2 linked regions of the Tribolium castaneum genome follow. Each later gene encodes a partner of the first gene's protein in a complex. Links are inferred from orthologs where the notes say so. Each region holds a gene or a part of one and is shown in the gene's direction. Other genes may lie near its edges. The genes, in order: Vps39 and vacuolar protein sorting-associated protein 41 homolog.

Region 1 (3,829 bases):
TAGCTTAAGAATTTCTTAAATATTCTAAAATTTTGTATTTTAACAAAACGAACTAGTAAGACACTCGAAAAATCTAAAAATAAGGCAGTTTTCGACTTATTTGAACATTATCTTGTTTTCTAAACATTTTGCGAAATAGATAATATCTAATGGTTCGGAACGAGCGAAAAAAGCTAAAGTAACATCTCTTTCGTTCTATTATTATCAGAAAAATCACTTTTTAGATTAAAAATATGTACTAAAACAATCGAAAAAGGCCGAAAATAATGCAATAATTTTCTGTTTTTTTGCTGATTTTATAAAATTTTAGAAAAAAATAGAACAAAGTTTAGAATACAGAATGCTCAAAAACTGGCGCACCAACTCAGTGGTACGTTATTAAGAAGCAAGTGCAGATTACGGGAAAAATGTTGAAAAAATTCCTAAAGTCATATTTTAAAAAATCTGGAGCTACAAACTTATTGTGTTAACTTTTTCATTATTTTTTTATGTTTTTATGTTTCATACACCAGGTAATCGTTCCGTAACAAAACGATGAATAATTATTTTTAAATTTACTATCAGATTTTAGCAGTTTTTTGAATTTAAAAAAATTTAAATTCATCCAAAAAATCACAGTGTAGATGTGTCAACTCTGGGAATTATTTCCTAGGAAACCGTTTCAAAAATAATTTATTTTTATTGTTGCTCAAATTCGTTACCACTTATCATCTAAAATCTGTTATTTATCAATAACTTTAATACAAATAATTTTTTTACTATTTTTATCTTTATATGTAACCAGTTCTCTACCACACACCATTGAGTTGGTGCAGCAGTTTTTAAGCACGCTGTATATCTAGACAACTAATTGCTGCAAAGATACATACAAAGCGGTAATAAACAAATAAATTATACAAAATGTAAATAATTTTAGTTGGATGGCCAACAAACTGACCTTTTCCCGACTAGCAGTAGCCGATCTAGTGAGCCTTGTATTGTCAAGGCCTCCGAAAAAACTTTTGCATTGTGTCGCGAATCGCAAACTGTTCTCGTAAATACCAAAGGTCAGACGGAAAAAACCAAGGCCTTGCGATGGTCAGATGTTCCACTGACCTTGGCATGGGATGAACCTTTTGCCCTTGGCGTTCTCTCCGAATGTATTGAAGTTCAAACTTTGGAACCATGCGGTTTGGTTCAAACCTTACAAGACCTTTCCAAGGTCAGATTTATTATCACCTGTCAACAAGGTCTACTCTATGCGGCTTCTGTCAGTCAAGTTTGGTGTATTCGAGCTGTAGATGTCGCAAAACAGAGAAAAGTTTTGTTGGAATCAAAGCAATTCCAGTTGGCTTTGAAATTGACGGTAAGTGAAATAATTAAGTTGACTAAAAAATTAAAAAAACAATAATACAGGAAATTTCAAATGAGAATGAAGAAGACAAAAAAGAGAAAATTCATCAGATTCAGACTTTGTTGGCTTATGATTTATTTGTGAATAAGCAATTTCGTGAAAGTATGAAGGAGTTTTTGAAACTTGAAACTGATCCATATGATGTTATTCGACTGTTCCCTGATTTACTTCCACAACAAACCGTTTCAACAGATTATCCTGAACCACCAAAAGATTTGACTGAAAAAGAATTAGAAACGGGATTGTTGGCACTTATTGATTATTTAACTGAGATGAGACATCGGCTTCAATCTGAAACACAGGTAAGTTGTTTTTTGTAATTGAAACGTGCAAGAAAAAAATATCTTCAAAAATTTGAAAGAAAAAAACATTAAAGTTAATATTTTTTCAAAAACATTTCCCACATATTTGTTGTAACATAATTATTTTTAACGTAAATATTTTTTATTGGCACCATGCCATTAGATTGTATTAACTTTTATAATTTTTTTCAACGTCCTACATTTTTTTAAAAAACAATTTTTAGTAAAAGCTGAACGTAGTACACATGTTTGTACCAAAAAAATAATATCTTCCAAATTATGAAAAGAAAAATGTGGGTCAAAATTAAAAAAAGGTGAATGTAACCCCAAATACTCTGATATTTTGAAAAATTTTAGAGGCATCATTTTATATTACATAAGAAGCTATTTAATAGTTTTTTTATTTTTGAAATCGGATCATAAATGAAAATTCTACAGCATCTGCCGTTTTTTAAAAATCACCTGTATAATGTAAATTTCTGAAAATAATTGAAAATAGTAAAAATCGGATCGACGTCTTTTTAGTTTTAATTTATCACACCGTATTTAATTTCGTTTAAAAATAAATAACCAATTATCATGCATCGAAAGGCATAAAAAAATGTGTAAAAACAATGTAATTTTTAATCAACTTAATGATTTTGTGGTTAATTTTGAGCTAACAAATTTTAAAACTAATTTAAAATTCCTAGAGAGTTGGAATTTTTTTTAAAAGTTTCCTTTACATGTTGTTAGACATATATCAAAAGTTCCAAAGGTGGGGGGCAAGCTCGAGGAGAGGGAGGGAGCTAAAGCTGTCTTTTTTTGTTTTTTTGCTTATATCTCGGAAACGGTCACCCCTATAAATTTTTATCTTCTTACCAAAATTAAAGTTGATAAAATTTCCTAAAAAATGGTCTTAGCCTCATTATTGTAGGACTAACCGTAAGTTACTAGCTTTTGAAGTTTAATGTCTACATGACACTGTATAACTAAACATTAGTATATCATAGTATTTATATGGAAATAGTGTATAAAGCGTTTTCCACCTAAGCTAAGAGTGGGAAATAAAGGAAAAAAATAGTTTCTTCCCTCGGGCTTTCCAGTTGAAGACCACAATTCAGCATCTGAAGATGACCCAGAAGATATGATAGAATGAACTGTTGGATTCAATGCATACAATTTATTATAAGATTTATTTAAAACATCTATATTAAATCATCTATTTATTAATATTTTACTGAACAAGACTGTAATTCAGTTTTCAATGTATGAGGGGAAGACGAAAATGCAGCATTTAAAGACGATTCTAAGGACTTCTGTGACCCCTATATCTCCTCCTTTCTCCTCTAATGAAGTGTTGGACCCAATATATTCAGTTTATTGTCAGTTTTTTAAATCGAAAGACATTTTCTTTTACAGCACATTTTTTTTAAATTCTTAATTATTTTCAAACTAATATCTCGCTTATGGTTAGTCCTATAAGAAAAATGCATATAACCATTTTGTAGGAAATTTTGTTGGCTTTAATTTCGCTAAGAGAAAAATTGATAGGAGTAACAGTTTCCGATATAAAAGCAAAAAACCAAAAAAGACTGCTTTAACCCCCTTCCTCTCCTCGAGCTCGCCCCGCAACTTCGGGGACTTTTGATATATGTCTACACAAGTGTAAAGGAAGCTTTTAAAACAACTCTCTAGGAATTTTTTCCACCGATTTGTCTAATTTGACTGGGCTATAATCCATTTTTTCAATTTAATTTAGTAATTTTTAAATCTCGAAAAATAAAGTTTGACTTAAAAACTTGCTTAAAAATTTGTGATACAATTTTTCGAAAAACATAGTTAATAGGCGTGTAATGAGTTTTCGATGGGATTTAGCCTAAAAACATTCCTAAGCCTTAAACTAAAACAAAATTGTTACTCAGATGTCGTCTTTTTGCTTATTTTTGTCGTTTAAAAAACGTGTTGAAACTCTCAAAGAAAATATATGTATTGTAAACCAGGTTTCATTAGTTTTTGACCACTTTTTGACAAAATTTCCCCTTATGGTTGTTCATCAAGTCGACTGTGGAATTTAAATTCAATGTGCCGCTTTGGTCAAATGGTTGTTGTAGTTTCAGTACTGTCATCTCTGTCAAATCATTGAATTACCTTT
Region 2 (3,829 bases), on another chromosome or scaffold:
TGATTGAGTTTTTGCTGAACAAAAGATTGGAAAAGGTACATTTTTGGTTATTTTTGACCAAATTTGGTGATTTTTTCGTTCTAGTTTAACAAAAACATGCAAAAAATACTTAATTTTTGGCTTTAAAACTTGCTAAAACACCCAGAACTTGCAAAAATAATGACATTTTTGCCCCAATTTTCCGATTTATTTGCTTACTTTGTAAGAAATTTTGCGAAAAATGGACTTTCTACGAATCAAATATTGAAATTTATAGTTATTTTCGACCATATTTGTGGATTTTTTGTTCTAGTTTAACAAAAACATGTAAAAAACTTAATTTTTTTGGCTTAAAAACGTGCTAAAATATTCAAAAATTGCAAAAATAATATAATTTTTGTCAAATTTTTTGATTTATTGGCTTATATTTTAAGAAATTATAGCCAAATGGTGGATTTTCCGCGAAACAAACGCTCGGAAAATTAAATTTTTTGTAATTTTGGTCTAAAATTATGTTTAAATACTCAGAACTTTCAAAAATAACGTCATTTTTGACCAAATTTTGTGAATTATTGGGTTATTTTGTGAGAAATTTTACGAAATGATTGAGTTTTTGCTGAACAAAAGATTGGAAAAGGTACATTTTTGGTTATTTTTGACCAAATTTGGTGATTTTTTCGTTCTAGTTTAACAAAAACATGCAAAAAATACTTAATTTTTGGCTTTAAAACTTGCTAAAACACCCAGAACTTGCAAAAATAATGACATTTTTGCCCCAATTTTCCGATTTATTTGCTTACTTTGTAAGAAATTTTGCAAAAAATGGACTTTCTACGAATCAAATATTGAAATTTATAGTTATTTTCGACCAAATTTGTGGATTTTTTGTTCTAGTTTAACAAAAACATGTAAAAAACTTAATTTTTTTGGCTTAAAAACGTGCTTAAATATTCAAAAATTGCAAAAATAATATAATTTTTGTCAAATTTTTTGATTTATTGGCTTATATTTTAAGAAATTATAGCCAAATAGTGGATTTTCCGCGAAACAAACGCTCGGAAAATTTAATTTTTTGTAATTTTGGTCTAAAATTATGTTTAAATACTCAGAACTTTAAAAAATAACGTCATTTTTGACCTAATTTTCTGAATTATTGGGTTATTTTGTGAGAAATTTTACGAAATGATTGAGTTTTTGCTGAACAAAAGATTGGAAAAGGTACATTTTTGGTTATTTTTGACCAAATTTGGTGATTTTTTCGTTCTAGTTTAACAAAAACATGCAAAAAATACTTAATTTTTGGCTTTAAAACTTGCTAAAACACCCAGAACTTGCAAAAATAATGACATTTTTGCCCCAATTTTCCGATTTATTTGCTTACTTTGTAAGAAATTTTGCGAAAAATGGACTTTCTACGAATCAAATATTGAAATTTATAGTTATTTTCGACCATATTTGTGGATTTTTTGTTCTAGTTTAACAAAAACATGTAAAAAACTTAATTTTTTTGGCTTAAAAACGTGCTAAAATATTCAAAAATTGCAAAAATAATATAATTTTTGTCAAATTTTTTGATTTATTGGCTTATATTTTAAGAAATTATAGCCAAATGGTGGATTTTCCGCGAAACAAACGCTCGGAAAATTAAATTTTTTGTAATTTTGGTCTAAAATTATGTTTAAATACTCAGAACTTTCAAAAATAACGTCATTTTTGACCAAATTTTGTGAATTATTGGGTTATTTTGTGAGAAATTTTACGAAATGATTGAGTTTTTGCTGAACAAAAGATTGGAAAAGGTACATTTTTGGTTATTTTTGACCAAATTTGGTGATTTTTTCGTTCTAGTTTAACAAAAACATGCAAAAAATACTTAATTTTTGGCTTTAAAACTTGCTAAAACACCCAGAACTTGCAAAAATAATGACATTTTTGCCCCAATTTTCCGATTTATTTGCTTACTTTGTAAGAAATTTTGCAAAAAATGGACTTTCTACGAATCAAATATTGAAATTTATAGTTATTTTCGACCAAATTTGTGGATTTTTTGTTCTAGTTTAACAAAAACATGTAAAAAACTTAATTTTTTTGGCTTAAAAACGTGCTTAAATATTCAAAAATTGCAAAAATAATATAATTTTTGTCAAATTTTTTGATTTATTGGCTTATATTTTAAGAAATTATAGCCAAATAGTGGATTTTCCGCGAAACAAACGCTCGGAAAATTTAATTTTTTGTAATTTTGGTCTAAAATTATGTTTAAATACTCAGAACTTTCAAAAATAACGTCATTTTTGACCTAATTTTGTGAATTATTGGCTTACATTTTAAAAAATTTTGCAAAATAATTGAATTTCTTTCCACCACACGCTTGAAAAAGGTGTTTTTTAATTAATTTTATGATTCAGAAAATAAATTCTTTCGTTCTTCATGGAAAAAAATGTGGTTAAAAGCTTTAAAAGGGGAAAAATTAAAAAAAAATCCTCTAGATTTGGCGATTTTTCCTTTATTTTTACGGAAATTTCGCCAACAATTGCCTTTAAAAACATCTTTCAAGGTATTGGCGTGTCGGAAGAACTAATGTGTGGCGCTTGTCACCACATGGTGCTCGAAAAGGACCCATCCAGGTGTACCAACATAACAGTTTTCAATTGCAAGCACGCCTTCCACGAACAATGCCTCCCTGAAAACACCACTCGATGCGGCATCTGCTATCCATCCGATAAATAAAACAACGGTAAGCCAACAAATAACTAAATATATTTCCAAAAATCGTAATCTTCATCATCGTCCACATTGAACGGTCCTTCGAAATATTCACTCTGTGGCAAAAGGGCCGGCGTAAAAGCCAGGAAATACTTGGCTGTGAATTGGAAAACGTCCTCTGGTTTTAATTGGAGGATTGTTTGGACGTAATCTGAGATCATTTCACGCACTTCTGGCTGGTCGTCTAAATAATTAGCGATTTGTTTTTTACTCATCATCTGAAACATTTTTGTGTTTGTGTCTTTTTTTTTCACCCTAACTTTACTTACTTTCGCGTCCAAATAAAGTGAAAGTAACTGGATATCATCCTGTAGCGGTTTTTTCTCCAAAGGTATCTTGTTAAAGGCGCTAAGATCCGTCAGAGGATTCAACTGAAGGATATAATTGCAAAAATACCACTCTTGTTTGAGTATTTTCCCAGTTAAAGTCATTAAAGTGATGCTTTTGTGTTTAATGCCACATTCTTCAATTATCGTGCGATAAATTTTGCACACGTCCACTTTTTTGTTGTTGATCATGCCACTAGATGGACCTTTACATTCCTGGATTTTTTTCACTTATTAATTATTATCGTATTTTTTTTGCAAAGTGTTACGTACGTAAATATTACGGCATAAATTACCATTGATGTACAAGGTCGAGACTTCGAAAAAACCGACAAATTTTGTTAGGGCCAAATAGCGCATCAAGACAAAATTTGCGCCTTCGCAAATTAAATTGTGCGCTTTGTGTGGACTGTAGAATATGTCTTTTCGTTTGTCGTGACGTAAGTAATAGAAATTTTCTTGCGAGCTGACGTATAAAGCTTGTTGGTCGAGTCCGTCGTCCATTTGGACGTACCTGAAAAATTATGTTCAGTTTTTGTTACTTGACTGTGTTATTTGAGTGCTTTTAGCGGTTTTCAGGACCGGTTTTAGTGAATTTTGGCGAAAAAAAAAAACAAAAATAACACAAATTTTGTGAAATAATTTTTTTTGAAAAAGTGAGATGATATAACGTTGTTTTTTGACCTAAAAGTTTGTGTTTTCTAGCCCGAAAAGACTAAGTTTTTAACATTCAAAATGTGCTTAAACTAAAAATGTAT

Evidence for each region.
Region 2: Vps39 (region 1) and vacuolar protein sorting-associated protein 41 homolog share a complex: the UniProt entries of both Homo sapiens proteins name them as parts of the homotypic fusion and vacuole protein sorting (HOPS) complex. The link is inferred for Tribolium castaneum from reciprocal best matches to the Homo sapiens genes VPS39 and VPS41.

What each region holds. Positions count from the first base shown.
Region 1 is NC_087402.1:12,351,463-12,355,291, reverse strand, and holds part of Vps39 (vam6/Vps39-like protein), read left to right. Parts: intron 1-916; coding exon 917-1,345; intron 1,346-1,395; coding exon 1,396-1,695; intron 1,696-3,829. UniProt on the Homo sapiens protein: Regulator of TGF-beta/activin signaling, inhibiting SMAD3- and activating SMAD2-dependent transcription.
Region 2 is NC_087401.1:16,023,912-16,027,740, forward strand, and holds part of vacuolar protein sorting-associated protein 41 homolog, read left to right. Parts: intron 1-2,536; coding exon 2,537-2,709; 3' UTR 2,710-2,716; intron 2,717-2,717; exon of another isoform or gene 2,718-2,732; coding exon of another isoform or gene 2,733-2,963; intron 2,964-3,014; coding exon of another isoform or gene 3,015-3,287; intron 3,288-3,344; coding exon of another isoform or gene 3,345-3,585; intron 3,586-3,829. Other genes in the region: ciliogenesis-associated TTC17-interacting protein, read right to left, coding at 2,733-2,963, 3,015-3,287, 3,345-3,585. UniProt on the Homo sapiens protein: Plays a role in vesicle-mediated protein trafficking to lysosomal compartments including the endocytic membrane transport and autophagic pathways. Acts as a component of the HOPS endosomal tethering complex.